Linked DNA regions of Rattus norvegicus. The protein of the gene in region 3 interacts with the protein of the main gene of each other region in a pairwise test. Links are inferred from orthologs where the notes say so. Each region holds a gene or a part of one and is shown on either strand. Other genes may lie near its edges.

The links.
Region 1: the proteins of Grn (region 3) and Fam76b interact in binary tests that used the Homo sapiens proteins (3 or more experiments, as listed by UniProt). The link is inferred for Rattus norvegicus from reciprocal best matches to the Homo sapiens genes GRN and FAM76B.
Region 2: the proteins of Grn (region 3) and Krtap26-1 interact in binary tests that used the Homo sapiens proteins (3 or more experiments, as listed by UniProt). The two-hybrid records come from large-scale screens. The link is inferred for Rattus norvegicus from reciprocal best matches to the Homo sapiens genes GRN and KRTAP26-1.

What each region holds. Positions count from the first base shown.
Region 1 is NC_086026.1:18,965,982-18,976,621, forward strand, and holds the start of Fam76b (protein FAM76B), read left to right. Parts: upstream 1-5,555; 5' UTR 5,556-5,786; coding exon 5,787-5,873; intron 5,874-6,573; coding exon 6,574-6,638; intron 6,639-7,507; exon of another isoform or gene 7,508-7,513; coding exon 7,514-7,568; intron 7,569-8,586; coding exon 8,587-8,742; intron 8,743-9,265; coding exon of another isoform or gene 9,266-9,397; intron 9,398-10,640. Other genes in the region: Cep57 (centrosomal protein of 57 kDa), read right to left, coding at 4,666-4,710. UniProt on the Homo sapiens protein: Negatively regulates the NF-kappa-B-mediated inflammatory pathway by preventing the translocation of HNRNPA2B1 from the nucleus to the cytoplasm.
Region 2 is NC_086029.1:41,448,362-41,457,156, reverse strand, and holds Krtap26-1 (keratin-associated protein 26-1), read left to right. Parts: upstream 1-5,208; coding exon 5,209-5,850; 3' UTR 5,851-5,902; downstream 5,903-8,795. UniProt on the Homo sapiens protein: In the hair cortex, hair keratin intermediate filaments are embedded in an interfilamentous matrix, consisting of hair keratin-associated proteins (KRTAP), which are essential for the formation of a rigid and resistant hair shaft through their extensive disulfide bond cross-linking with abundant cysteine residues of hair keratins.
Region 3 is NC_086028.1:87,888,219-87,898,217, forward strand, and holds the end of Grn (progranulin isoform a precursor), read left to right. Parts: intron 1-1,998; coding exon 1,999-2,143; intron 2,144-2,255; coding exon 2,256-2,381; intron 2,382-2,503; coding exon 2,504-2,588; intron 2,589-2,943; coding exon 2,944-3,053; intron 3,054-3,150; coding exon 3,151-3,286; intron 3,287-3,384; coding exon 3,385-3,494; intron 3,495-3,672; coding exon 3,673-3,796; intron 3,797-3,967; coding exon 3,968-4,065; intron 4,066-4,157; coding exon 4,158-4,403; intron 4,404-4,617; coding exon 4,618-4,851; intron 4,852-4,930; coding exon 4,931-5,155; intron 5,156-5,241; coding exon 5,242-5,379; 3' UTR 5,380-5,720; downstream 5,721-9,999. Other genes in the region: protein FAM171A2, read right to left, coding at 6,326-7,772, 8,288-8,414, 8,523-8,639, 8,736-8,915, 8,995-9,153. UniProt on the Homo sapiens protein: Secreted protein that acts as a key regulator of lysosomal function and as a growth factor involved in inflammation, wound healing and cell proliferation. Regulates protein trafficking to lysosomes, and also the activity of lysosomal enzymes.

The DNA.
Region 1 (10,640 bases), on a different chromosome or scaffold from region 3:
TGTGAATCTGTAGTTGTCAATATCACTACAAAAAGAACCTCCCTTCCCTGTACTGTCCACATGAGCACGGATCATGGACTTCTAATCTATGTGGCTTCTGACAAGAGCATGGACCATGAATATCATCAAGGTTTCCAGCATCTGCACATGCCAAGGACCTCAGCATGGTCTCCAGTGACAGTACAAAGACATCAACATGGCCACCTATCAAAGCATAAGCCACAGACACCATTGTAGCCCTCAGCTGCAGCACAGGTCAAGGACAGCACATGACCTCCGGGGTCAACACAGGCTACAAAGGCCCATACAGTCCCACACAACCCACACACATCATCAACATGACTTTAGGCAGCAGCACAGATCAGACATTTGTATGGCCTTAGGTGGCAGCCCAGTCCATGGATATCAACAAAGCCCCCCCTGCTGCAGTGGCCTCAGGTGGCTGCACAGTCCAAGATGGCCCCTGCTGGCAGTATGGGCTTCGGGTAGCAGCTTCTAACACCGACATCTAAATGGCCCTCGGTTGTAACATCTGTAGAAACAAGGCTCCAGCTGCGGGAAGACCATGGACCCAGACATGGTCCTCTTACAGCAACACAGCCCATAGATACCAGCATGTTCTTTTCTTAAAGAATTTATATTTAGCTCCCAAAAAGGGGAAACAATTGTAAAACACCTTCAGGCTTATCAGATATTCTCATAGCATCTGTCATGAATCTGTCAGATTTGACATTATGCTCTACATGACATATATTTACCACAGTCTACCTCTGAAAGTTAACGAGAATTTTAGCAGTGGTGAGTTTATAGTTTGGACACTCAGGAAAGAGGGAAGTCATGGAGGTTCTAGGAGCCAAGGTAGAAGACAGGATGACTGCCAGCTGTTCAGAGTTCTCACACACTCATCGGCCTTCTCAGTGTCATAACACATTAGGATTTTCAATCTTGTATTAATGAAGTCTGCAAAGGAATGATGGGTATTCGCAACAATAAACCATGTATGTCCTGGAGTAAGCAGAACTCTCCAAATACCTGTATAATAATAAAAATTTATTTTGAAAGTAACCTGAAAAACAGTTAAGTTTTCACTTCTTAAAATATTGTCAATGTTATTATGAATTGTCTGGTACCTTGATCTTACATATAACTAACAGAGAACACTGTTTTTTTTTTGTTTTTTTTTTTTGGTTCTTTTTTTCGGAGCTGGGGACCGAACCCAGGGCCTTGCGCTTCCTAGGTAAGCGCTCTACCACTGAGCTAAATCCCCAGCCCCGAACACTGTGTTTTTATTGGTTAGCTAGACACAGCTAGAATCCCATCATTTAACATTCAAGCTAAACTAAGTGATTTTGTTCTAGTTCCCCCTCACGAAAGCAAAAAAATTTATGTGATCACTTGAACTGAATAAACAACTAGTTCTAAAAAGAAAATCCATGAACTAGCTCTTCCTTCTTTCAAAACTAGCAGCAAGCAACCTGTCTGTCTCCACTTAGCTTTTCAAAGTCTCACCTCCTCAGATTAAACCCCTCCTGGTGTCTCTATTTCCCTTCTCCACTACATCTGTCCCAGGGCCAGGAAAGGGGAAAGACAAAACCTTTTCCTGAACTACAAGACTCTTCAACCCTAGACTGATCTTGAGTTTTTTTTTAAAACAAACTCTAGTGCAGTAGATAAAGGTACGTGCTGAACAAGCCTAATGAACCGAGTTTACTTCCCAGAATCCACTTAATGGTGAAAGGAGACAACTCCAAAACTGTCCTGTGATCTCCAAAAACAAACTGTGGCAGGTGCACCTCCCCTCATCATCATGCACACATCAATTAAAACTATCAAAATTTTAAGTAAAATAATCTTTCAAAGGATGTTTGCAATTGCTACTTTAAGTCACCCCTCTTTACTCATTCCTAAGAAGCAAACAGCTCATCAAACTCACCAGTTCCTCTACATTGCTGAAGTCAGCAATCTCTCAGAAGCATGGATCACATTTCTGTGATCGTTCACATAACCCTCAGTGGAGGAACCCAACAAGGATTTCCCCTTAATCCCATAGACTCTCCTTCATCAACTCCCTGGATCTCTAACCGCTTGGGAAGTCTCATCTACTCTCAGGCTCTTCATTTTTATTTGTCTTTCAAATTTAAAACACAGAATGGAGATCTCAATCTAAAACTCTAAATTCACATTATTCACTAGCTACTTGGATGTCTCAACTAACATGCAGCATGGTTATAACTAAAGTCTTGGTTAGTCCCCAAATCTGCTCCTCTGCCAGCATACCAAAACAAAGACCACTGCCATTTACCAAACTAACCCATACAAACATAAAACCCAATAGAGGTAATTTTTATTTACCTCTCATCTACTCTCTGTAAATCATCCAGGGTTCTTTCTCCATAACATATTTAGAATCTTTTATACTTTAATATTGCTATAGCTCTATTTTTAGTTTGAATTACTTGAAACACCACTTTTCACATTTCTTTTTTTTTTTTTTTTTTTCCGGAGCTGAGGACTGAACCCAGGGCCTTGAGCTTGCTAGGCAAGTGCTCTACCACTGAGCTAAATCCCCAACCCCTCACTTTTTACATTTCTTAAGTCTGCTCTTCCAATCAGCTTGCTAGTGATAATGATCCTTTAAAAACTGAGTCAAGTTAATAGATCTAATCAAAACCCCATGGACTACAACTCAAAATTCTTACCACTCACACAATTCCCACATAATGTAGCAAGTACCAGGCTAACCCTTATATCGTTTCCTGACACTTTCTTTTGATAGTCTCCCTACCAGTTTTTTCAGCAATACGGACTTTGATTTCAAATACCCACAATCCACTCTTGTTTTCTTATTTAAAGATTTATTCATTTATTATATATAAGTACACTGTAGCTGTCTTCAGATACACCAGAAGAGGGCATCGGATCTCTTTACAGATGGTTGTGAGCCACCATGTGGTTGCTGGGAATTGAACTCAGGACCTCTGGAAGAGTAGTCAAGTGCTCTTAACCGCTGAGCCATCTCTCCAGCCCTACTCTTATTTTCATTGCTGCAATTATTCTGCTTGCAAAGGTCCCTTCCTACCTCCAGTTGCCTGCTTACACCCTAACACGGAGGCATTTTCTTGTTACCCTACTAACAGCATCTTTCTATCAACGCATCTCCAAACCTTTTATTTCAAACACTATTGTTACACACATTTACTATGGTGGAGTAAAAATAGTTTCTCTTCTGTTCCCAACTCCAGACAGAGTCACAAGATCTATTTTTCCATGAAACAGGCTTTAAATTTCTGCTGGGTCTACCCTAAGGACTAGGGATTAACTGCATCCCTGTGGCACTGCCCTGATGGCCTTGAGTGCAGTTCAATCGAAGTTGCCTGAGTTTCCAATTTCTAAGTTTTGAGAGCAAAGAAAGAGCTCTCCTTCCCCAGGTTTAATCAACTGTATCTCGTATAATTCATGCATCTGCTGGCACTTAGTTCTGGTAGTTTTTCTTTTACCTTCCGTTGACCTGACACTGGATTAACTCCCAATGACTTGCTTCATCTCTTCTCTAGATCTTAGATCTGTTTGGAAAACGAAATATTCTGACCTTCTCACAAGTTCTAGTAGCCACAGAAAGTTGAAACTACGATTCCTAAGTTACCTCATCCGCTGTTAAAATTACCCTGATAATTTCCTGACATCCCTCATTATTCATTTTCACCTTTATTTCTAGCTCTTCTTAATCATTGCTACCTCTAGATGTCTCTGGGGTCCTGGACGTTCCTACTGTCTAGCCACATAGATCTTAAACCTGCAGTGCTTTCTTCTTTTAAAATTCTCTCAACAGGGCAGCCAGCTCACCCTCTCTTCAAGATCCTATCTTCCCTAATACTGCTAATCAATCTCTCCCAGACTCCTCTGGTACCCAAGCCTGTAGCGCAGCAATTATCTAATTAGTACGGTGCTTTGCTCCTTCTTTAGAATGGGGTTTCTATTCAATTCTTCCCTGTAACTTTAGGACCAAGGGTCAGCTAGGCACAGGGGCATCTCTAAACAGAACTCGAGCGTTCTCACATTTAATTCCTATCTCTTCTTAGTGGAGCGTTTTCCAAAAGACTGAGCTCCACAATCCACTCTTAAAACACCAGTGACTAATCTCGCCGGTTTAATTTCCCCGATCGCTTCTCCAAAACAACATTTCCACACTGTATCCTAGTCATGCCATGGGAAGTAGGGATGCCCGGGCTCCGGCTGCAAGGGTCGCGCAACAGACACTGAGAGGCCCTGTAGCAACGGCGAAAATGCACTCTGGGGACCACGGACGCCTCAGCGGCTGTCACTCTACAGACCTGCACATCTACCTGTTACTGAGGGTTTCCGAGCTGGGCCGTTACGCTCACGTGACTGACGGGGCTTTGTTTTAGCAGGCCTGAGCGTGCACCAGCCTGGCTCGGGACAACGCTCCACAGCTCCGGCTGCGAGGACCTGCGAGCGCAGAGCGGGAAAGGAGGCGGGCTGCTGCTCCAGAAGACACAGTTGCAGCCTCCCGGAGTGGCACGCGTCCTCGGGCAACCCGCCATCCTGCGGGACCAGGGCTGACGCCAGATCTAGGCGCCTGAAAAGTGAAGCAACCCAGAGAGCCGTCCAAGACCACCTGGAACCCACACAAACGCCACCCCTTACCGAAAACTGAGAATCAGAAGCCGCCGAGACCGAGGCCGCCGCCATCTTCCCACCTGCGCAACGCGGGCCGCCGTCCTGGAGCCCCTCCCCCGGATTCGACAGCCGCACGCCTGGGGCAAGCCGAATCCAAGTCCCCGATGGAAAGGGCGGGCGAGCTGTGAACCTTATAGGAGCCTCGGTCTCACAAACCACAAGGATGCCACACTCAGCGCGCAAGGGAAAGGCAACGCGTCTTGACAGGCGCCTTCCAGTGACCAATCAGAAAAGAGGACAACTTCTGGTGGCAGGGGAGAGCCCGCCTCTTCTCTCGGTGACGTCACAAGGTAGCGCACAGCGGAGCCTGCGGGGACGGCAACGTCGTGAGTTGGCAGACTGCTCTGGGAGCTTCTGGAAAGGGATGAATGTTTTGAAGGAGGAAGCAAAGGGTAGAGCTTCTGGAGCCTTCAGCGCCTACTGGTGTGGATGACGGAAGCTGAATAAAGGTGATTGGAAAGTTGATACACTCCATCAACATCCCAGGAATAAACTCCAGAGAGCGTTGCCTTTCCAGGTGAAGTACTGACCTTTCGGCCAATGACAAACAGGAGTAGGAGGGGCTTAACGACATGGTCCAATGGAAGCCAAGGACTGAAAAAAAAATGGCGCTTCGTGAACCTGTGCCCAATGGGCTCAGGCGCACCAGCCAAAGGATGACTGGCCGCGGCTTGTGGGCGGGATCTTTTCAAAGCGGAGTTCGCGCTCCGAGAGCGGCAGCCTCCTATTGGTTGGTTCTTTCTCTCTTTGTGGGCGCTCCCTGCCTAACCGAAGCAAGGGACTGGGCGGAGCTTCCGAGTGACGTGAGGGCTCTCTGTAGCCAATCATAGGGAGGGACGCGAGACCGAGGAGGAAGCGGAATCCACAGCCTTGCTCCCGCTTCGTCTCCCTCCGCCACGGTCCGGGCCTAAGCTGGAGCGGCGGGGCGGGCGGTAGTAGGTGTCCCGGGACGGCGTCGGAGGCGGAGGGGGACGCAGGGGGCCCGGCAGTTGCCAGGCCGGGGCCGCAGCGGCAGAAGAGCCCGCGGGCGGGGCAGCCGAGTTCCCGGAGGCCCCGCCTGAGCGCGCGCGGAGGAGCCGGAAAGCAGGATGGCGGCGTCGGCCCTGTACGCCTGCACCAAGTGCACGCAGCGCTACCCCTTCGAGGAGCTATCGCAGGGCCAACAGCTCTGCAAGGTCGGTGGGCGCCGGGCGTTCAGCGCACCGCTCCCCGCCAGGGTCCGGGCATTATGTGGGCGAGACCCGTTTCGACCGCGTCCCGCCTGCTCTCAGACTGGGGCTGACTCGGCCGCGCCTGGCGGTCTCGGGTGGGGCTGAGCCAGGAGGCCACCAGTCCACCGTGTCGCAGAGATCCGGTGCAGACTCTCTCATACCAGATTTGGGAGGGACTGCCTTCTCCTTCCACTGGGAGGCAGGGCCGTGTTTGCACTTTCTTGCTAGGAACCCGAACCTGAAGCTGCAGAGCTGATGGCATCCTGCTTTTCTGTCCCGGAAAGTGAAGCGACTGGTTTGGGAACAGAGTGCTCTGATTTGGAGCTCCTCCCATCCCATAAAAGCTGGGATGCTGTCTGTGAGCAACTGTACAAAAATAACTAATAGTTTCACATGTAAATCACCCCCTGGAAGTCAGTCCTGACAGCTTCCTTGGTTTTTATCTTTTCCATATCTCCTCGACCCTCCGCATCCACTAAGGACAAAAATATCCCCATGGAATTATACTCTAACTGGCAGTTAATGTGATAAATCACCAGTTGTTTACGTTGCCAGCTAGGTTTTTTTGACATTTCAGGCACTTGACTAGGTCGATTAATTTCTAGCAGAAGAGCAAGGTTGGGAGTCTGAGATAAAAACTGACTTATGTATTATCTTATTACAGGAATGTCGGATTGCACATCCTATTGTAAAATGTACTTACTGCAGATCAGAATTTCAGCAGGAGAGGTTTGTATACTGAGCAGTTTTTCGTTGTTACACATTTGTATAAGGAATAACTGGGGGTTGTAATATTTGTGTTAAAGCGCTTCGAAAAAATGCTTTTGTTTCTGAAATTTAAAATGAAAAGCTACTATGTGCAGTATGAGAGAAGACATTTAACTAAAGAAATCCTGGTTTTATTTTAGAACCAGATTTCAACTTGAACACGTGAAAATAAGGGATAAATTGATAGATGGAAAATGTATACTTCTGCCAACAATCAAAATATAAACAATTACTTTTAAACTGTTTTTAAGGGGAAACTGCTAACTAGCCTAAGGAAAGAGCTACAGTCTTTCCAACTGCCTTCTAAGACTGCAGTCTCTGCCTTTAGCAGTGTGATTAGCACAGATGCTTTTAACAGTAGACCCCTCTTTTAGAGGACACAAAGTCAACTCAAGAGAACAAGTGGTTTTCTTACTGAGTATGTGGACATGGCAGTGGAAAAGGGCAGGCTGGGAAGTGAGGTGGGCCCTGATGCATGAGAATGTGCGTTCGTATTGGTAAGGGAATGTTTAGAACCAGAGGGAAGACATTAGGGCTTCTGCTTTGTTTTCTTTACAGAAAATATGCAGTAAGTTGGTTGCCTATAAGCACAGTGTTTGGAGGTGGAGGCAGGAGAATTACCACTTAGAGACCAACCTGGGCATATATCCTGAGACCTGGAGGCACTGTAGTACGTAAATAGTATATGGAAAATTTGTCTTAAAGAAAACTGGGTTTACAGAAAACTATCCTAAAGTTAACCCAAAATAAGTCATGTACAGATTTATTATAGGCCAGCACATGATACCTACATGGAAAGCTGCATGAGTAATCATCTGAATACAATTCCTTTTCAGCAAAACTAACACAATTTGTAAGAAGTGTGCTCAAAATGTCAAACAGTTTGGAACAGTAAGTATGTTTTTCATTTCAAGTCCTTATTATTGACTAGTTTCAGTTCTTCATGATTTTTCTCACAAAACAGTCCAGTCTCTGTACTTAATCTGCACATATCAACATAGTTCTTGGAAAACTTTTTCTGTACTGTTAGTGGGAAAATGAAGTTGTTTAAAAACAACTGCATGCTTTAGATGCTTTATAGCTTATTTCAGTGTGAAGTTTGTGAAGGTATTTTTTAAAAGTACCAATGAGGCAAGCTCCTTAATGTGAACATATTTATTTTCAATAATCAAACTTTCTCCTGATTTCTGGGACTTTTTATATGGCAGCACCATTCAAGTGTTCAAAACCAATGACAGTATCTTGGTACAAATTGACTAATGCGCGTGCGCGCGTGCGTGCGCATGCATGCGCATGCATGTTGTTGATAGTAATATCGGTGCTGTTTATGATTGGTCAAAGTGCTGACCTTAAGACTCTATACTGTCCTGAATATACAAGAAATCAAGGATGCTTATTCTTACTTAAATTGAATATGCAATACAATTCTTTAATATTGAAAAGATATTTATGTTTACTGTGGCAACAACCTATGCATGGTAAAATTATTTTTGATTGCATAAATGATGTAACAGTTAAGCTAGCTAGTAAATCACTCTTAAGTTCATATCCTCAAGTTAAAGGTTATGAGACTTTACTGTGAATAACTTTAAGTCCATAAACAAATTTTATATTGTATAAAAATGCCGTAAAAATGCCGTATAAGTCCACTGAGGACTCACGCACGTTGTCTTTCTCACAGTGGTCAGATTTCTGAGCATGGGTAGTGAGCTTCATGACCGTAGCAATAAATGTTAGTTGAATGAATAGACCCATAGTATTTGTCTTTGAATATATACTTGGCAGAAACAAATGTTTTTAACTTAACACTTTTCTTCATTAACCCCCCAAGTAGATTACTAACACTGGATGTGTCATATGCAACAAAGTTTTAAATATCTCGGTTAAACAAAATATGTTTATTTTTCAGCCTAAGCCTTGTCAGTACTGTAACATAATTGCAGCATTTATTGGTACCAAGTGTCAGCGTTGTACAAATTCAGAAAAAAAATATGGAGCACCTCAAACCTGTGAACAGTGCAAACAGCAGTGTGCTTTTGATCGGAAGGAGGAAGGAAGAAGAAAAGTATGTTTACTTACGTTATGATATCTTCTAGAATTAAAGCACCAAACTTGGCAATTGTTATAATCAGTACACCTCTAAGACCCTGGTTCCTGCTACTTGAAAACAGAAATGGAGGAGTAGCATATTATGACTTTGCATCATGTGTGGGTTCATGTTGACCAGTTAGGATGACTATACCCGAAAGATCTGTCATGCTGAATATGGTGTGTGCCTATAGTCCCAGCTCTGTGGGATGGTGAAGCAGGAGGATCATTGGAACCCAGAAATTCAAGACCAGCCTAGACAGTACAGTAGAACTGTCCTGAGTGAGAATGCTTATAATCCTTTGTGATAGGCGTTCTGCACTGTTCATTCCAGTTCCGTTTTGAAGTGAATCCTTTTACGTATATGCTTGCTGGTTACTTGAAATTGTTGCTGTGAGAAAAAACACCAGATGGCATATTAGCACATAAGATTCAGAGTTAGTGTCTGCCTTTTGTTTGGCTCGTGTTTGAAACTCCTGTTTGTTTCTCTCTGCCTACAGTGACGTAATTATTAGGTGTATGTGCCATTCCTCTGCTGATGAGCATTCACACAAGCCTCCTGTGTGTCAGTTTCAGTTGCTTTGGAGGATGACTGTCACTTTGAGGGGCTTACCCAGATCCCCCACAGCACTGTATGTACCTTAGTTGTAAGACATGTCCCTCCAGCATTTCCTGTATGGAATGAGGAAAGGCAGAAACTAGACCTTAATTTTGGAAAGAAGTCACTTTCTCTCCGCTGGCCTCACACAATTGGTTCTCATTATTTGCAGTAGTTCCTGTCTGTAAAGTTGCCAGGAGCACCAGTGAATAGCAAGCTGTAGTTTTTAAGAGGAATTCAGGAGTAAGTTCCTGCCTATAATCTTAACATGCTTACAATTATCCAATACATTTGTGATTTTAGTGTCTGTTGAAGATAACTTATATGTGAACCTAATTGAACTCATGGCCAGGAGCAGTAATAATAACTGAACAAAACTATAACTAGCTTTTTTTTCTAAGGTCCATCACAGCCTTTTTAAAACTAAGAATGGCAGTACTGAATGATTCTGGAAAGAACAGTGGTTTACGGTGTGAGAGCTGAAGCACGGAAGAGAATCCTGGCTTGTTTTGCTATAGGTGGGGCTGTGACGCCTGCTAACAGGAGTTTTGTGCTGCTCCACATCTATGTGAATGACCATAAATAGGAGTCTAGACTTAGATAATAGGCAAATCTACAGATATATAAACTCTGAATATAATGAGAATTGATTGTTGTTACAGCTTCTGTTCTTGTTTAAGTCAGTGTTTACTCTTGTGGGAAGTAACTGTCATTTTGGTAATTCACTACTAAAACATTCCAGCTAGATTTCTTTGAAATAATCAGCCATTTGTACTCCTTTTTTTTTTAGACTGATTTATGTCTATAAATGTTTTGCCTGCATGTGTGAACCATGTGCCTATCTAATACCCGAGGAAGTCAGAGGGACTTCTGTATGCCCTGGAACTGGAGTTGTAGCTGATTGTGAGCCACCATGTGGGTGCCAAGAACTGAACCTGGGTTCTCTGTAAGAGCAAAACATGCGCTCAACTCCTGAGCTGTCTCTCCAGCCCCTGTTGTACTTACCTTCTAGACTACATAAAGGCAGTGTCTCTCAAAATTAAAATTACTTTGAACAGTGCTGGAGGTCTATAAATCAGTGCTCGTAGCTAATTTTATAATCCCCTTACAGTGTTAATCCAAACATATATTTGTGCTCAGTTTAAAAAATCTGCATACGTGCATTTATTCTGGAATTTCACGAAAGTAAGAGTTGCACATGTGGAGTGAAGTGCTTGCAGGTTGAGTGGCTTGCTAGACTTGCTGCAGCCCGTTTGCAAGTGCACTTACCCAGCTGT
Region 2 (8,795 bases), on a different chromosome or scaffold from region 3:
GCTTCCTGCCCTTATTAAGGTTTTTCCTATGGTGGGGTCATATGGCAGTGCAGAAATACATACACTGAATAATATCACATATATGAACCAAAACATCTCCCTCACAGTAGTAATTCTGAGAGTGTTGGTTTGCCGAAGCTTAGGTGGTTGGTAAACTGGGAAGACTTAGGTAGAATGTGTTTAGTTTCTCTTATGTAGTCACAGTGAGGTTGGACACACTGAGACATACACAAATAACACACAAGGTTAGGAGGGGGACACTATGAGAAAGTTGGGAACTTGCAGGGGATGTAGAGGCAGAATGATCAAAAGATGTCACCTGCATCTATAAAACTCATAAAGCTTAACCTCGAACAAACCAACAATGCTTACTTGGTGATAGGAATGGTTTGCTCCATTGCTGTTGTGTCTTTACCATGGACATGGGGAATAAAACATCAGACTGTAAACATGAACCACATACAGTTCCTATTTCTCAGGTTTGTCTCAGAAAAAAATAACTGGAAATTTTTAAATAAAAGACTTTTACATTTAATATATCAACATGTAGGTGAACAAAAAAAATTAAAGGATCTAATATAGACAAAAGAACATGGTTCATGGGCTTAAGCATGAGAATGGAAATAATAGATACCTCTACCTTTAGTGTCCTTAATAAATTATAAGAGGATGTGTTATTTAAACAGAGCAGGATGTTTATATCCTGTGGAAAGCATTTGTGTATGTGGAGGAGGAAGAAACGAAAGCGTGAAACTCCACCATATTTTGTGTAAACTGTAGTTTCTGTACTTGACAATGCTACAGTACAACAAAAATTCAGTTAATAGGATACTATGTCCTGACAAACTGACTCCAAATTCTGACAAAGTTCTGGGTAGGGTGTTCACTGTGCGACAGGCCACAGTTCAGTGATTTTATACATGACACAGAACAAGAGGTGCTTTATCTAGGTCAGGTTATGCTTCTCTAAGCCAAGCTAAGGTGACTATTGGCAGAAATATTAGACTCTGCTGATGAGAAACAGGACAAAGACTGTGAAGCGCTCCTGCTTTCTTGCTGTCTCTTTTGAAGGCAAGTTGAAGTTCACCAAGGAACAGCTTTAATAATGATTTAAACAAGGGTGTTAAGAGGACAGGAGAGAGATAAAGAAGGAAAGGGGGAGAGAGAGGAGAAAGAGAGAGAGAGAGAGAGAGAGAGAGAGAGAGAGAGAGAGAGAGAGAATAGGTGGATTTAGGGAACAGGCAATGCATGCTCATGATAGGTATAAGTTTCTCAAAACAAGAAGACCCTTTCCTCCTGTTTCCAAGTTCTTCATATTCTTAATAAATCAATTTCCCAGGCTTAAAAAAAGTACCTGAAAGAGATTGTTAAGTAAGTAAATGTTAACTTTGATAAAGGTCATATTTCGTGACTGCTATGATGCCCATTAGGAATATTTATTGCCAATAGGCAGAGTTCCTCCATAGTGATCACGCCTACTAAGTAGGTGAGAATTAAATTAAATATTAAGTGTACAACATATAAAATACTGTCTGGTATGTAATAATGATAGGAAGGCCACCATAAGTGGTAGCCACTGCAGGTCCTATATTATAGTTGAGAAATAAGACAGGGAATGTTTTGCTTGAGAAGTGGCTGCATTCTTTGTGTATGTGTGTGTGTGCATTTGTTGGGAGAGAGAGCAGGGCATACAACAGAGGAAACAAGGTAGACTCAGGCAGCAGGGAGTTGAGCAATACAGCATAAAAGGGAAGTTAAAGTGATGTTAAATGATGGTGATTATATGTAGTTAAAGACTAGAGAAATCCAGTTTGGCAGGAATGGTCTGGGAAGTAATTATGAAAAAGGAGTTAAATTACTTAGAGGCTAGATCAATAAAATTGTAGTTATTTCCAAGGACAGAATGGGAATGGCAGTCATCTGGCAGATGACATGGAAAGAGGAAGCAATGTGATTCTAGACATGAACAGGCAAACCAAGAATGTCTATGAAACAGTTTTGGAAGCAGAGTAGGGTTGGCCACGTGCCTGGCTTCTTCTGTGTGGGCAACTGGAAACCATTAGTGTTTGGGTAGAGTTTCATGATGTAATTAACTTTGGGGATATGATTCTAAACACAACATTCACATAGAAGAGGAGGCATTGGGAAGGAATCACAGATACAGGATTCACAAAAGACAGTGTTACTGATAGCATGGGTTACAGAGTTAGGAATACGTGAAATGCACGATCATGGAGGCCTGAAAATGGAAAGACACCATAGGTCACTTCCCAATCTACCCTTCACTTTACTGTTAGCATCATTTTCTAAAAACAGATACTTGGTTGCTATTTCTTTGGAAGAGAGCATTAATTTATTACCTACTAACACGAAGACATCCAGCAAGCCAGTCTAAATTTAGCAACACGATTGGAATCTTTCACTCAAAAACTCCTATTGTCAATTATTTTGGTGTTTATGTATTTTCCTACTGCCTGAATTCTTTCCTTGTTTTCCAGATTCCCATGCCATGTCTTTCTATCCATAAAAATTAGTACAATATGTCAACTTTAATCAAGGATAATGGATGTTTCCTTGCCTTCTCTGTACATTGCTTATAGGCCTTGGTAAACACGACTTTGTCTTGTCCACCAATGAAGGGTCCCTAGGACAAGAATGGTTTTCATCTTGTTTTATTGTTTCTCTTATTCTTTGGTATATGTCTGGAATACTTGATAAATGTTTTCTAAACTAACAAATGCATGAAACAATCAAGTGTGTCTCCTCTTGGCACACACTCACGGTTGAATGTGGTGAAGATTGTTCATCCAAGATAGAAATACTCACAATCTTCCTTGTAAAGTTGGAGGGGTAAGGTCCCCGATTCATTGAATATAAAGCTACAATGTGTGTTCATTCAGTGTGGTACATGATTATCATGGACTCTGTGGAATCTAGGATGACATGAGCCTGCCCGTCTGTAAGTTATAGGACCCTGCAGGTAGGGTGCTTAGTATTTGGACCAAACAAACCCTGACAGTAACATAGTTATTTAGCCTATAGGAATAAACTTCAGGACTCTCTGTTTCCTGAAAGTTTGCAGTATTTTGTGTGTATATTTGTAGGTAAAAGTGATACTGACAGTGGCAGGGGATACATAAATTAATTAATCCCAGGTTTATGTAGTTGTTAGATGACAACATATATTCATGTGTATATTGATTTCTGTATGATGCCACATTAGATTATGGGAATAAAAATGTTTGGAGATGTGAGGAATTTGCATTTATAGCATTTTCTTGATGTCTATTACTCTAATGTTCTATGTTTCAGATGCAAATACCTAAAACAGTAATATTTCACCTTCTAAAGTTATATGATGTATTGACAGCAGAGTTAGGCATGACAGTGCCACCAGGCATTTCATGGAGTAAGTACTGACTAAGTTCTAAATATTTGTAATTCTTTAACACTCCCCTTTAGGTTAAAAAACAACCATGCATAGAACACATACCGAACCCGTGCATGTGTACATGCCTCAGCGATGGACTCTTGACACAAATGCTGGGCTCTTGGTTACATTAGAGATAAGCACAACTAAAGAGCGTCTAAACATAAATTTGATAAACACTAACCTAAGTATGGCTGTACCCATGACTAATGCTAGCAGATGTGTCTGAGGTTGCACAAGAAGACTCCATCCACTGCCTACAAAGTATCTGGTGATGAAGTCCTAGGATGGGTTCCTCACTTGCATCAAACATAGACTGTCAAAGAGTGACGGCTCTTCCCTCATATTCTGAGCTAAATTTAGCTCATGCGCATAAGACCTCAGAGCCTATATGGCTTTATCTTCACGCATATCCCTCCTGGCAAAAGAGACCTGGATTGCTGCAGAGAGACCCATGCACTGGTTCATATTTTCTACTCTCCTGGGCAGAGGGAGACTGGATAAGTGTGGCTGTGACCATTGAACATTAAAAGAGAAGAAAGCACTGTGATTTAAATTGAATTTTTAGCCAAAGGGAATGGAATTGAGATTTTTGACAGATAATTTAAATTCCCATTAAAAATAGCCACTGGAGGTACTGGGTACGCCACTCTGTGAAAACCGCAGTGGACGGTGGAGACTGACCAGCTCCATGCATTTAAACCACATTAGTAGAGACAGAGACATGGCAGCTTTTGAAAAGCCTTCAAAGTACTCAAACCTAGCAAAAGTTTGCATACAATTCTAATGTGATTATTTATGCCAACCAATGCATGGGGTCCCTTTTGGAAATTGAGGTCACATGTGGGAAATAAACAATGCCATGTTCATTATAGTAGATTTTTTTTCTTTTTATCCGGAACAATATACTTCAGTGGTCATATGAAAACCCTGAAATATATAATCCTGCTAGATTCATGATACGTGACATTTTGTCCAACCTTTTTAATGTACTTGCTCATGTTCAATCTGGAGTCGACCATTTTAACTGAACTACATCTCATTACCTATATTCTAAACGATCACAGACAAAACACAACCTCAAATGACTGTTTATTCAACCTTAGGTTTTAATGAAGCAAGCACTCATTTTCTGAATAAACATATTTTCATGGGAAACCATTTTCTATTCAGATGTTGAAATAAAGAAAAACAGGCAGGGGTCTTTCCCAGGATGGCCTTTAAAAGTCTTTTGATCCTAAAAGTTGTAAGAATTTTTTTAAAAAAGAAATCTTCTTTTGCAAACGTCTTGCTTTATAGGATATCTTTTTGCCCATGTTACAAAGAGAATAGAATTATTTCTCAGTTAGTTATGTGTAGTTCACCACTATTCAAAGTAGTTTGCTTCAAATTTCAAAGACGGCTCCAAGAGGGATTCTTAAGAAAACTATTTGTGCGCTGGTGGTTAGAACTGTAGTGAGTCCACAGCCTTCCAAAGTATCTGTTTGGGCTGGATAAATTTACCAGGGGCCCTATTAAAACCCAGGCACACTGATTTATGGTTATAGTCAATCGATGGGAGGCATTTCGGGGATCATCCAGTTTTATGGGAGGTAGGAGCGCTACTTCCTGGGTATGAGAGCGTTCAGATGCGGCCTCAGACAACAAGGAAGATGAGTCTGCAGACAGAACTGCCACTCTCTGAGAATATATAAAGGGACAAGACGAATGGGGTGTCACACTCACACCTGACGTGCTCCCAGCCGCTCTTAGACCACCACCACCCTCTCCAGTTCACTATGGCTAACCGTAACAACTGCTCCAGCAGCTGCACCTCTGGATCCCTCAGGAATTCCTGCCACATCCCAGCCAGCTCCAACATTGCCCTCTGCTCTACAAACATGGGCTGCGGAGAGGTCTTCTGCGTCCCCAGCAACTGTCAAGACCACACCTGGTTCATGGACAACTGCCCAGAGACCTTTGCAGAACCTATCAGTGGCCAGCCACCCAGCCGCGAGGCCAGCGGCTTTGAAAACTCTTGTTGCTCTTCTGCATATTGTGTGCCCAGACCCTGTCATGGATCTGGCTATCTTCCCACGACTTCCTTCATCTCTGGATCTTGCCTCCCAGCATCCTACAGGCCCGTGAGCTATGTATCTAGCAGTTGCCGGCCAGTGAGTCCTTTCATGAACAGCTGCCGTCCTGTAAGCTGTGGATCTGGTGGCTACCGCCCACTCCCTTGTGTATCCAATAGCTGCCGACCCGTGGGCATCGTCACTTATGGATGTAGGCCTTCAGGTTGTGTGACCTATGGCCCTCAGACCATTCACATTGTGTCAAACAGCCTGAGACCTCTGCAGCCTGTCTGCGGTGGTTGCCAACCGGCGATCCCTGTGTTTGGCAGTTGTCGTCCATCTTGCTCTGCACAAGGAGGCCAGTAGCCTCCTTGTTCTAGTGAACAGCAATGACGAAGATCCAGGATAAAACTTGCAACTCTCTGGATGTTCACTTCTTTCCAGTTAGCATCTGCTTTTCCTTGTTTGCACCGTGTCTCTGTTAATGCAAACTGTTCCTTTCACACTGTGACTTGCTTTTATCTTTCCCTTGAAAAATCTTGGCCCCTATTGCCACTCATGTTGCTTAGGTGGGAAGATAATCTACCTGATATGATCTGCACTATAATAAACGAGATTAATCCAGAATTAAGAATCTAGTGCATTGAGTTTTCTTTCCTGACTTCATTTGCTAGGGGACACTGCACTGTCAGGTATATGCTACCTGACATGGGGACAATGGTTTATTATTTAGGAGTGTAATGGCCTCAGAAAAATATGGGGGACCAAATCATGACCTTTCTCAAAGTTATGGTCAAAAGGAGAGCTCAACACTAAACCTCTTACCTCTGACTTCTATTGCACACACCTCCACCAGAATATTCTCTAATTGCAAACCAGGCAATAGGCTCCTGTGTGAACCTAGGTTGTTTCCTTTGATCTGATTCCATAAGACAGGATAAGTACTTTCTTGGTTGCTGTTGCCCTGCCTTCTTCTCTGGATTTAGCCCTTACTACTTAGCATTGCAAGTACCATGTACCCACACTCTTGTCTGACATACAGTGTCCCCTAAATGTATTCTTTTAAAATGATCACCACCATTTTATACATGCCACTATCAAGAACACTTTGACCTTCTCCGTCTGTTGGAAGTATCACAACACAATGCAAATTCATTAATGAACCTTGGACTTAAACAACAACTAAGAAACCATGAACACTCACGCTATGTAGAGTTATGTGGGCGGGGTGCAGAAGAGACAGAGGTGTAAAGAAGTCTGATACGTACTATCAGAGTTTGCCAGAAGTCATACACTGTGGAACACATCATAATTAAACCCCATTAATTAAATAAAGCTGAACTGTAAGTATGTAAGTGGTCATCTTTTTGGGGATACTGGGAATGGTCTTCTTCAAATGCAAGAATTAGAAAAAAAGGAAGAAGAACATTAAAACCAGACTTAAGTGTGACATAGATGCTAGAATAATCGGAAAAGGATTTTAAATTACTCTGATGTGTATTCTCAGAAATATGATCAAAAAGCCATCGGGCAAAACAGAGAGATAGAGATTCAATGAAAGGATTTTTTTTTAAATACTAAAAGCACTTGTGAGATAAGAGACCAAGGACATAGGTCCATTACAAGCCCAAACTAAATTCTGAGATGACAGAGCACTTCCACTCTCTCTGCCATATTTCTGAGAGAAACTTGGCCTGGTAAATAGCAAGAAGCAGACACGTACTTGTAGTCTTTTCTCCCAGATGAGGCATGTGCCGCTGTTTCACAGTTCTAATCCTATCTATAAAATTTCCAGCACTGGCAGTGAGTTCTTCCTTTTAAAAACAAGTATTTATTTATTTTGCAGTGTTGGGTGTGCGACTAAAGTGTCCTGTAGGTAGCATAAAAGCTTTGCCTTTACAACCTTAGCTCCAGAGTGACAGAGCAGCTCCTCTCACGTTCCTAATGCTGTTGTTGTAAGGCCCATTTGCCAGAGAAGATGGGATCTGTACCTTCAGTTTCTGAATCCCGTCCTAGACAGATTCCTGACACCCAACCATGACAATTAAGTCTTTAGAAGAGTCTGCCTCTGAGCGAGACATGAAGCTGTAATAGATTTGGTTACATTTCTGAAGAGGAGATCATCTCAAAGTGAGACTAATGGAACTATAACACATGGGCTGTTTTGTGCTAAAGATGTCACTATTACTCTGAAGGCTGGTCCATAGACTCATCCTACCTGCTTCTGAGCGTCAACATGGAACCATAAAGCATCTTCCCAAAGCACATGTCATGCGATCATTGTACTAAAATCCTGTGACGTTCTTCCAACTTCTAAACTATTTCTTTGAATTTTTTGAGCAAAAGATGCTGAACTTATAACTGGCAAGAACATGAACCATGTGTCCTAGAAATTGCTAGAGGCTGGACATGACATAACATGAAGATAGAAAGTCTCTGGTATACTGAACATGAGGCAAAGAAATAAAACAAGAAAGACATAAGTATTGGTAGCTAAGAACTTTCAAACTGAAAGAAAAATAAAAACAAACAAACAAAAACATGAGACCAGAAAATTCTGCATGCTCAGACAGTGTATCGGCGCTGATAATTGAAGAGATAAACATTCACAAAAAGGACTTGAGGTTGGGTCTACCATTCCAACTGCAGAAACCAGACAGAAATTCTTCTCTTCAAAGGAACTAGAGGATGAGCTACCCCAAACTTCCTTACAGAAGTTACAACTACAGCAAGACATTTTAAATGGGTGTGGTAATGTGATTCCTATTGTCCCTTGCCTTTTACATAAATTTGTTTTGTGTGTTAATGAGTCTTTGCATAAGATGCATGTCTGATAGGCCCAGAAGTAAGGAGAAGGCCTTGTAACCCTTGGAACCAGAGTTACACATGGTTCTGAGCTGCAACATTGATGTTGAGAATCAAACTCTGGTCCTCCAGAAAGAGCATCCAGTGCTCTAAACCGCTGAGCTACCTCTCCAGGCCCATCATGTCACATTTTTATTTAAATTATTAAATTGCTTTACTTTGCTGGATTCTGCTTCCTGAAATAACTAGAAAAACCTTTTTTAAAAAGGCAAACTGTTCAGTCCAATAACATAGTGTGTTGTTGCGTGGTATGACTAATACAGTTGTATATTTTGAAATTATTTCAGCATGATACATTGCTAAGCATGCAAGACACCCTTGCATCATGGCAAACTCTCTTCTGGGTGCTAGGAATGTGACAGTAAACAGTTCAATCACAGAAAGGGTTGGAAAATAAATGGTAAATACTGATAAAAACGCAGTGATGTAAGAGGGTATTGCGGAGC
Region 3 (9,999 bases):
CTTTCTCTTTCTGATGCTGCAAGTGGTCTCCGCGGCGGCGTGCAGTGGGTGGGGAGTCTCCCGCCCTTGGTCCCCAGAGCTCAGAAGGGTTGGGGGCAGGACCCGGGCCTGATGGCTGAATCCCTGGGTTGTGTCAGTTGTATTTCCTTTCTTGGGGGCGAGAGAGCTAACTTCCGCCTGCCTCTCCCCGCCACTTTTCCCTGCTCCTTCTCATTAGGATTGGCTCACCTTTTCGGAAATTCATCTCCCCTTGACACTCGGAGATGGGGGGTGCCACCTAGTGGAAGATGCCGGAGCTAGGGCTTTGAAAGGCTCCGGTTCTCCCTGGCTGTGTAATGTAGAGGTGGTCAGGGGCTCACCACTCCCCAGTCCTATTGAGAGGAATTGGGTCTCCCTTACCCCTTCCTGGTTAGGAAATGGCCTCTGGGATTTTTTTTTTTATGTGGGTGGGGGTTAGGTTAAAGAGCACTTGGAAGGACCTAAAAAAGGAAAGAGAGGGGGTTGGGGGAGACGACAGATCCTTCTATGTAGCCTAGGCTGGCCTGGGATTCACCTTGTAGCCCAGGCTGCCCTCGGATTCACCTTGTAGCCCAAGTTGGCCTGGCACTTGCAACCCTCCTACCTCAGCCTCTCAAATGCTGGGATCAAAAGCATGCCTGCCATGCGTGGGTGGCATTTCCTGCCTTTTGTAGCCACCAGTGTCCAGGCAGAGATTGAAGACTTGAGACACAGGGAAGGAACAATTTCTGAGGCCCTCAGTCATAGATTAGAGTGTTACTTCCAGGACTAAAACCCAACTGCAGCTTCAACGAAGTCCCTGTACCCACCCTGCTTCTATCCTGCTTGGGTCACCTGCCAAGAAATCTTCTGCCCCATCCCTCTGCACCTCTGGCCTCTGGGAATCAGGGTCCTTCCCTGGCAATGACCAGAGACAACGGTTGGCATATGAACCCAGTCTAATACCCTGTCTTTTCCCCCCTGGCTTGATCCTTAGGCATGGATTTGAAAAGTGAAAGTAATATTTTAATTATTGCTTTTCATAGATTGCTGAGAAATACAGTGAGAGGGGAAAATGGCTCCCTGGAGGGTCTTTGAATATTACTGGGTTTGCTGCTCTAGGCAGAATAACATCTTTCTGGGTTGCTGGGTAGACCATCTGAGCTGGGAAAAGGCTTATAGGGAAGTGAGAGGTTCAGTTCCTCCTGCTGAGGCAGAGAGTCAGTGAAGAGGTCCACTGGTTCTTCCCACTTGCAGCTGAGTTTCGATTTCTGATCAGGGAGAGACAGAGGCAGTCTGTTTGAGGAGTCCAAAAGGACCCTGGTGATGTCCGGAAGGCCTCATCATGAAGTTAGCTTTGAGGCTGACCTAGCCTCTGTGTCCCCTTCCCTTGAGTGGGGTGGGGACAGTTGTGGGTAGGCAGTGGCTGGCCCATAGGGAAGCCAGCCCAGACCCCACTGGCCACAGTACTTCTGTTTTTACAACTTTCTCCACCGCTAGGTTTCCCATATGATCATGTGACTGATGACTCTGTCCCCCAAGGCCTTTGAAAGCTACAGGTGGCAGACAGTTTGGTACCAGGCCGGGGTGGAGTTAGGCGGGCGGGATGGTGTGGGGCTGGCTTCCTCTTATGGCTGCTAAAGTCTCTTCTGCCTCCCAATTAGTCCTCAGTTCCATAAATCAAAGCCACAAAAGCCACATGCCTTCCCGACTGTCATAACCCCCTCCCCTCCTCTCCACGCACTCAGACTCTCAGGCGTTAGGCCATATGAATCGACACTGGTGTTCCTGCCAACATTCATGCTCACAGTGAGTGCAAGCTGACACACGAGTGCCGTGCACGGGTAGGGCGCTGACTCGAGCGACACATCTGCCTGCTTTCCCGTTGAGAATGCTCAATAAACCCAAGGCCTTGGCCTGAGCACAGGGGAATGCACAGCCTTGGAGTAGAAGGTGGCACAGGCTTCAAGATGGCTGCCAGACTTTGCTTGGCATTTGCAGGCAGACCATGTGGATCCTGGTGAGCTGGCTGGCCTTAGTGGCAAGGCTGGTGGCTGGAACACAGTGCCCAGATGGTCAATTCTGCCCTGTTGCCTGCTGCCTTGACCAGGGAGGAGCCAACTACAGCTGCTGTAACCCTCTTCTGGTGAGTGTCTCATGCCCCAGTTGGCAGCCTGGGCTTTCTGAAGGACTGTCTACCTCAGATTGGCCAGAGGACTGGCACAGATCCTTTGATTGATGTCATCTCTTCTTTCCAGGACACATGGCCTATAATAACGAGCCGTCGTCTAGATGGCTCCTGCCAGATCCGTGACCACTGTCCTGATGGCTACTCTTGTCTTCTCACTGTGTCTGGGACTTCCAGCTGCTGCCCGTTCTCTGAGGTGAGGCCGCCATTGGCTTAGGGGAACAGGAGATTGATTAAGATCTGCATTTACCCCTTTCCTTCACTCTTCTAGTCCCAGGCAAAAGGGTCTTGCTCACACAGGTGTCTCTTCGTCCATAGGGTGTATCTTGTGATGATGGCCAGCACTGCTGCCCCCGGGGCTTCCACTGTAGTGTGGATGGGAAATCCTGCTCTCAGATATCAGGTGCTGTGGGGCACAGGGGAGGGGGCACGTGGGGACGGACATCAGGAGTTACCTGAAGTGCCCAGGAGCCCAACTGCCTGGGTGGCCCTGGGAGGGGCAGTTCTGAGAGAAGAAGGTGACAGACACTCCAGCGTTGTGGGACACAGAGAGGCCGTGCCGGAGTGATTTGAGCACCAGCCCAGTTTCACTGGATGTCTTAGCAGTAGGGGCTAGCTAGCTGGTGGGGTCCTGGGAGATCACCTAAGCCCTGGGACTGACCGCTAAGCCTCCTGCAGCTGGACCTGCAGTTCCTTCAGTGATGGTACTGGTACTTGACCAACTGGATTAATGGAATTCTGGATTCTTGGATCTGCAGATAGCCTCTTGGGTGCTGTCCAGTGTCCTGGTAGCCAGTTCGAATGTCCTGACTCCGCCACCTGCTGTATTATGATTGATGGTTCCTGGGGGTGCTGCCCCATGCCCCAGGTATAGGGTGTGGGAAATGTGGCACCTATGGGTAGAAGGGTAATGCTGGGGTCCGGGGCTGACACAGATGGATTTAGGACCACTTGTTTCTTCTCAGGCCTCTTGCTGTGAAGACAGAGTGCATTGCTGTCCCCACGGGGCCTCCTGTGACCTGGTTCACACGCGATGCATTTCACCCACGGGCACCCACCCCTTACTAAAGAAATTCCCCGCACAAAGGACCAACAGGGCAGGTGAGGAGGCCCGAAGCCACCCTGCCAGCACCTGGGGGTGAAGGGGAAAAGTCCCTCTATCCTAGCAGCCCCTCCCTCATGCTTCATTGCTCTTTCAGTGGCTTTCCCTTTTTCCGTGGTGTGCCCTGATGCTAAGACCCAGTGCCCTGATGACTCTACCTGCTGTGAGCTACCCACTGGGAAGTATGGCTGTTGTCCAATGCCCAACGTGAGTGAATGGCTGGATTCCCCTGGATCTGGACAAGGGGGCTCCAGGCACTCGGTTGATCTGAGAGCCTTAAGGCTCGTGCTGCCCCCTAGTGGCCGATTGGAGCAGTGCATGCTATCAGCTTGGCTTGCTCCCTATGCTCGCCAGAGTTCAGAGACTTCTACTTGTCCCAACCTAGGCCATCTGCTGTTCCGACCACCTGCACTGCTGCCCCCAGGACACTGTATGTGACCTGATCCAGAGCAAGTGCATATCCAAGGACTACACCACAGATCTCATGACCAAGCTGCCTGGATACCCAGGTATGGGACCCCATTTCATCTGCTCAATAAAGAGGGTTCTCAGTTACGGAACGCTATGGGGTGGGTTTTGATGGCTTGCATGAGGTTCACTGTGGCTGGGATAGCTGTGTGCTCCATTCTCGACGCCTGGTCACACTGTCTTCGATGACTTGGTCTCTCCCTACCTCACAGTGAATGAGGTGAAGTGCGACTTGGAGGTGAGCTGTCCTGATGGCTACACCTGCTGCCGCCTCAACACTGGGGCCTGGGGCTGCTGTCCATTCACCAAGGTACTTGGGAGCAGTGGGCACAAGTGGTCCGAGCCGAGGGGGCAGCTAGCTTGGTTCCAGTGCTTATCGGGGCCTCTCTCTGTCTACCTAAGGCTGTGTGTTGTGAAGACCACATTCACTGCTGCCCAGCCGGGTTTCAGTGTCACACAGAGACAGGAACCTGTGAACTGGGAGTCCTTCAGGTACCCTGGATGAAAAAGGTCACGGCCTCCCTCAGCCTGCCAGACCCACAGATCTTGAAGAATGATGTCCCCTGTGATGACTTCAGTAGCTGTCCTTCTAACAATACCTGCTGCAGACTCAGTTCTGGGGACTGGGGCTGCTGTCCCATCCCAGAGGTAACGAGGGAAGCGAAACAGCCCAGAGGGGTGGGGATAGCATCTTGGCCTGGGTAGGTAGGTGACAAGAGTCTTGTAGCCTTATTCTTCTGCACTCTGCGTAGTCCGGGGTGGCACCCAGTGCTGTGATTTGTCCCCAGCTGGAGAAGCTATGAGCAGGAGAGGTAGACTCCCATGATCCTCTGTAGGAACATTCTTCTCTGCCCACCGCTAGGCTGTCTGCTGCTTAGACCACCAGCATTGCTGCCCTCAGGGTTTCAAATGTATGGATGAGGGGTACTGTCAGAAGGGAGACAGAATGGTGGCTGGCCTGGAGAAGATGCCTGTCCGCCAGACAACTCTGCTCCAACATGGAGATATTGGTTGTGACCAGCATACCAGCTGCCCAGTAGGGCAAACATGCTGCCCAAGCCTGAAGGGAAGTTGGGCCTGCTGCCAGTTGCCCCATGTGAGTCTCCACCCACTGCCCTGGGAGAAGGGAGCTGTGTTCTTGGGGTACGAGTGCAAGCCATTCTCTTGCTCCACAGGCTGTGTGCTGTGAGGACCGGCAGCACTGTTGCCCGGCTGGGTACACCTGCAACGTGAAGGCGAGAACCTGTGAGAAGGATGCAGGCTCTGTCCAGCCTTCCATGGACCTGACCTTTGGCTCTAAGGTTGGGAATGTGGAATGTGGTGCCGGACATTTCTGCCATGATAACCAGTCCTGTTGTAAAGACAGCCAAGGAGGCTGGGCCTGCTGTCCCTATGTAAAGGTCAGTGCTGTCCCCGACCCTGTGGCTGGGTGTGGCCATGGCTGTGTTCTGTCTTGTCTAGTACTTACTCTCCCTTGACCATCCAGGGTGTCTGCTGTAGAGATGGACGTCACTGTTGTCCCATTGGCTTCCACTGTTCAGCCAAGGGAACCAAGTGTTTGCGGAAGAAGACCCCTCGCTGGGACATACTTTTGAGGGATCCAGCCCCAAGACCGCTACTGTGAGGAAGGGCTAACGACTAAAGAACTCCACAGTCCTGGGAACCCTGTTCTGAGGGTATCCACCACTCAGGCCTCCCTGGCACCTCTTCCTTTAGTCTCCCCGGCCTACTCATTCTGAGTCACCCCATCACCATGGAAGGTGGGGCCTCAAACTAAGACCTTCTCTTATGGAAAGAAGGCTGTGGCAAAAGCCCCGTATCAAACTGCCATTTCTTCTGATTTCTGTGGACCTTGTGGCCAGGTGCTCTTCTCGATCCACAGGTGTTGTGTGAGCTTGCTTTTGTGTGTGTGTGTGTGCGCGCGTGCGAGCGTGTTGCTCCAATAAAGTTTGTACACTTTCTTAACAGTGTCTGATTTGGTGTGCCAGGGTCCTCTGGTATCAGCATTCCCCATAGGGGGGAAAATCCCCCCCCATACACACACACACACACACACTCACACACACACACAGAGCTTTAACCTCACCAGTTTTGTATTTTTTTTTGTTGTTGTTGTCCAGAGTGTCATCACATTATCCTATAGTCCCCAGGACCGCCCCAGCCACCAGCCCTGTGACATCCAAGCAGCACCCCTCCCCTCCCAAGGGTCCACAGAGATTGTCCCTCCCTTCCCAGCCCTCACCCTAGCAGCTGAGGCTGGCTTGCCCCTCCTGCTCCCACAATAGATCTTTCTATGTACAGCCACGTTTATACAGGCACTGCTCCCCACCCCTGCCCTCCTCCCCAGCCCCTCCCTTAGGGGACCGGGTCCCTCCCACCTCCCTCTGCTTAGAGGCCAATCCAGGGTCCCTTCCCAAGACACTCCCCCAGCACAAACCACAGATGAGCTCAGCTGACCCATGAGCTCTTCTCCGGGCTAAGAGCGTATGCCCCTCTGCTGCAGCATCCCGGGGCGCGCACCCTGGGAATCTGCACTGGCGGCAGGGGCGGTGGGCGACCCCCGGGCCGCACTACTTGACATTGAACACCATTAGCGGCCGCTCCTCCCGCCGCTGCCACGGGCTCTTTTTGTCGCCAGCCTCATCACCCACCTCCGCCCCTAGCTCGTCCTCGGGGCTGGTGAGCGAGTCGCGCCGCAGCTCACTGGCGCTACTGCGGGAACTGTCCCCACGGCTGCGGCCCCGACCCCTGGGTACTGTGGCTGCCCGGCCTTCGGGTGCCACCACCTCGTCCAGCAGGGGCGTTAGCGAGTTGTCCTCTGGCGAGCAGAGGCCTGTGCGGCTCTCACTGCTGCTGGGCTCTGTGTCTTCGCTGAGCGCCAGGCGCGGGGGCGCGGGCGGCGGCGGCGCGGGTGGCTGCGCGCGCTCCCGCTCCTCCCTCGGGGGCCGGCGGCGCGCAGGTCGAGCCTCGTGCACGTCGACGCCTGAGTCCAGGCTGGCATCTGTGCTGCGACCGCCGCCGCCCGCCTGCAGGTCGATGTAGGAGTGGCGCACTTGCGAGTTGGAACGTCCGTCCAGGGACACGAACCAGGCGCGCGGGTGAGGCTTCACGCCCAGTTCCAGCAGCTTCTTCTCGGTCAGAGCCTGCAGCTCGCCGTTGAGCTGCGCCATGGTGGACTCGTTGAACAGCACCGGAATGGTGACCGAACCGCTGACCGGTGCGGAGCGCCCGCCGCCCCAGCCCTCGCCGCCACCGCCGTCGCCTCCCGCACCTGCGTGGCCCTGTATCAGCGGGCGCTGGGGATCAGGTTGAGGGAAGGGGCGCGCGGGGCCGGCGGCCGAGCCCTCCGGCGGGGTGGCCTCGTCGCCCACTCCCGCGGCGCCCGCCTCTCCGCCCAGGCGCACATAGTGTGCGGGGATGACCAGGGTGGGCATGACATTGCGGTACACGTTGTCCTTGAGGTGGTCGATGGAACCGCAGAAAATGAGCTGGCCGGGCTGGCTGAGGGACGGCGGCCGCGCCAACTGGTCCACCGACTGTGACAGCAGAAAGTCGGGGGTCTTGCTCTCGGCCGCCCCCTTGTGGCCCAGATAATGGTCGAAGGACGGCGGCGGCGAGGGGGCCTCATGCAGGAAGGCAGCGGCTCCCGCTGGACCCCGCCGGTATTCTTCCAGGCTGGGCTCCAGCACGCCGGGACCCTCGACGGAGCGGGCGCCCTTAAGCCCGGCACCTTCAACGCTGCGGGCACCAGGAGGCTCGGCGGCTGGTCGACTGGCGGATCGCGGTTTGGCACGGAAGAAGTCATCCCGGGAGGATGCTAAGTCTCGGGAGCTGGAGAAGGCCGAGTGTAGGGAGCCTGGGGGAGGGGCCTCGGGGTCTCCCGACGACGTAGGCTCCAGGGGTCCCCCGCAGATAAGATGGAGTTGAGACATCGACGTAGCCTGATCTCGTTTGTTGTCCGAGGGGCCGGAGAGCTGCAGCTTGCGGTGCTGTTGTCTTGGTTTCAAGCAGCGTCGTCTGCAGAGGAGGAAAGAGACAGGCGCTCAGGGATGCTGAAAGGAAAGGTATCTCCGTAAACCAACACAAGGGATGAAGCAGGTGGGGTGGAGATGGAGGATGCCGGGAACGTTCAAGAGAAATGGTGGGGAACCCAGATGATGCCTGGGGGGAGCTGTTTGTAGAACGAGGACCATTCATTCATCCAGGAGATGCATTCATTCAGTTTCACCGGGGTAAACTTGGCAACGCTTGGCATGTACACCAGCTAGGAGTGCCTGCTCTGGGGGTCTCCTGGAAGTGAGAGCTGGGCTGGCTGAAGCCATTGTAGATGGTCTCTGAAGAGGCAAGACCTGCAGGTCCTGCCACCTGTCACCCGTTTCTCTAAAGCCACCAGTCTCTGGAGTCTAACTCTTGCCTTGCCATTCTTTCCTGGAAGCACTGATCGTCTAGAAGCATCTTTGGGACCCCAATGCAGAGCACAAGCGAAAGCCTAGGGATATGGAGAAGGCGGGGAGGGCTCCAGGCGTACTCACCGGCAGTAGTAGATCAGAAGACACAGCAGAATGAGAACCAGCAGGGCTAGGGCTGCCAGGATGGTCAACAGGAAGATTGTGTGGTACGTGCCGATGTCCTGAATGCCTGAGGTGATGGTAACCAGCCCTGTGCCAGGCAAGGGCTTAGGATGCCCTTCTTGCCTTTCACAAGGCCTGAGCTCTCCCAGCCTTCCCGCTCCCCTCTGCCCCTCCCCCACTGCCCCACGGATCTCACCAGATGTAGGGGAGGCCATGGCAGCTACCCAGTACCCTAGCTGCGGGGAGACAAAAGTCCAGTAGAGCTGTCGGCCTTCCTTCCGAATCACACCAGTGCCATTTCGCACCCACAGCCCTGGAAGAGGCCAGAGGAGTTCATCAAACCCAGTGTTCTGCCACCTCTTACAGAAGCCCCAGCCTCTAGCACGGGCACCCTGCCCCTAACACTTACCACTCTTGGGGTCAAACCTCCAGGCTGGAATGCTGGTGCCCACAGCAAGGGCACGAGGCTCTGAGGGTACTGGCAGGGACAGGTGAATGGGGCCTGAGAGAGGCACCTCTGTCCCATTGCCCGTTAGCAGGTGTACGCTCACAGCAGTCAGGGGTATCAGCTCCAGCCAGGAGCCATTGCCTGAGGGAAGAAGACGCTGGCACTAATGGCTATGCCCTTAAGGAAGGAAAGGTGCCTCTACATTAAGTACATGGCTTACCTGAGCTAGAGGCCTCAGTCCCCAGGAAGGCAGGGAAAGCCCGCATTTCCTGCTGGGTGCTGGCAGGGGTGAGCGAAGCCCAAAGCTGGTTGTAGGTGGAGCTGACGGGCAGGCGGGCAGCTCTACGCTGGAACTGCACCCAGGGCTGGGAGCGGGCACCTGGATGGAAAGCAGGCACTGTGGTAGCCTGACCCAGACCAAAGCAGAAAGCAAGTATCCAGAAAGGAGAACCTCAAGATTAGGCTGATCGGAAAGGCCAGGGAGCATGAGAATATTAGCGAGAAGTGGGTAGCCACAGATTGTTAACTTGAAGGGATGTGATACCGAAACCTCCAGTCCGGGTGAGTGTGTGTGTGACCTGCCACAAAGGATTTGCTTTCTCTGAAGTTTCCTTACAAACATAAATGACGAGGGCTAATGGGGCTAAAGAGAAGGCACCGTGGTTTAGAGGGTTACCATTCATACAGAGGCTCTGGGTTCTATTCCCAGTTCACAACCACCTATAATTCTAGTTCCAGGGGACCCAATACCCTTTTCTGCACAAGGTACACAGAAATATACTCAAGCACACGGACAAATAATAGTCATTCCTCAGCTAACAACTAAGATTCCCTGTCTTCATGCTCATGCTAACTCTCTCTCTCTCTCTCTCTCTCTCTCTCTCTCTCCCACCCCCCTGAGTGTGTGTGTAATTATTTATTTATTTTGGTTTTATGTTTTTTCGAGACAGTGTCCCACTATTAGTCCTGGCTGTCCAGACATTCACACTGTAGACCAGGCTGTCCTGGAGCTCACAGAGGTCCACCTGCCTCTGCCTTCCGAGTGCGGGCATCAAAGGCCTGTGCGCTGCCACTGTTGGGCCATAGGTGTTGTTCGTTACAGTTTTTCTAGAACCTTCTAGCATGATGAGAAGAAGTGTTTTGTCCGGGCTTCCATTTAGCACTCACTGAATACATGTGGCAAGTGAGACTGGCTGCTGGCACACATGTCGTGCCAGCGTGTGAG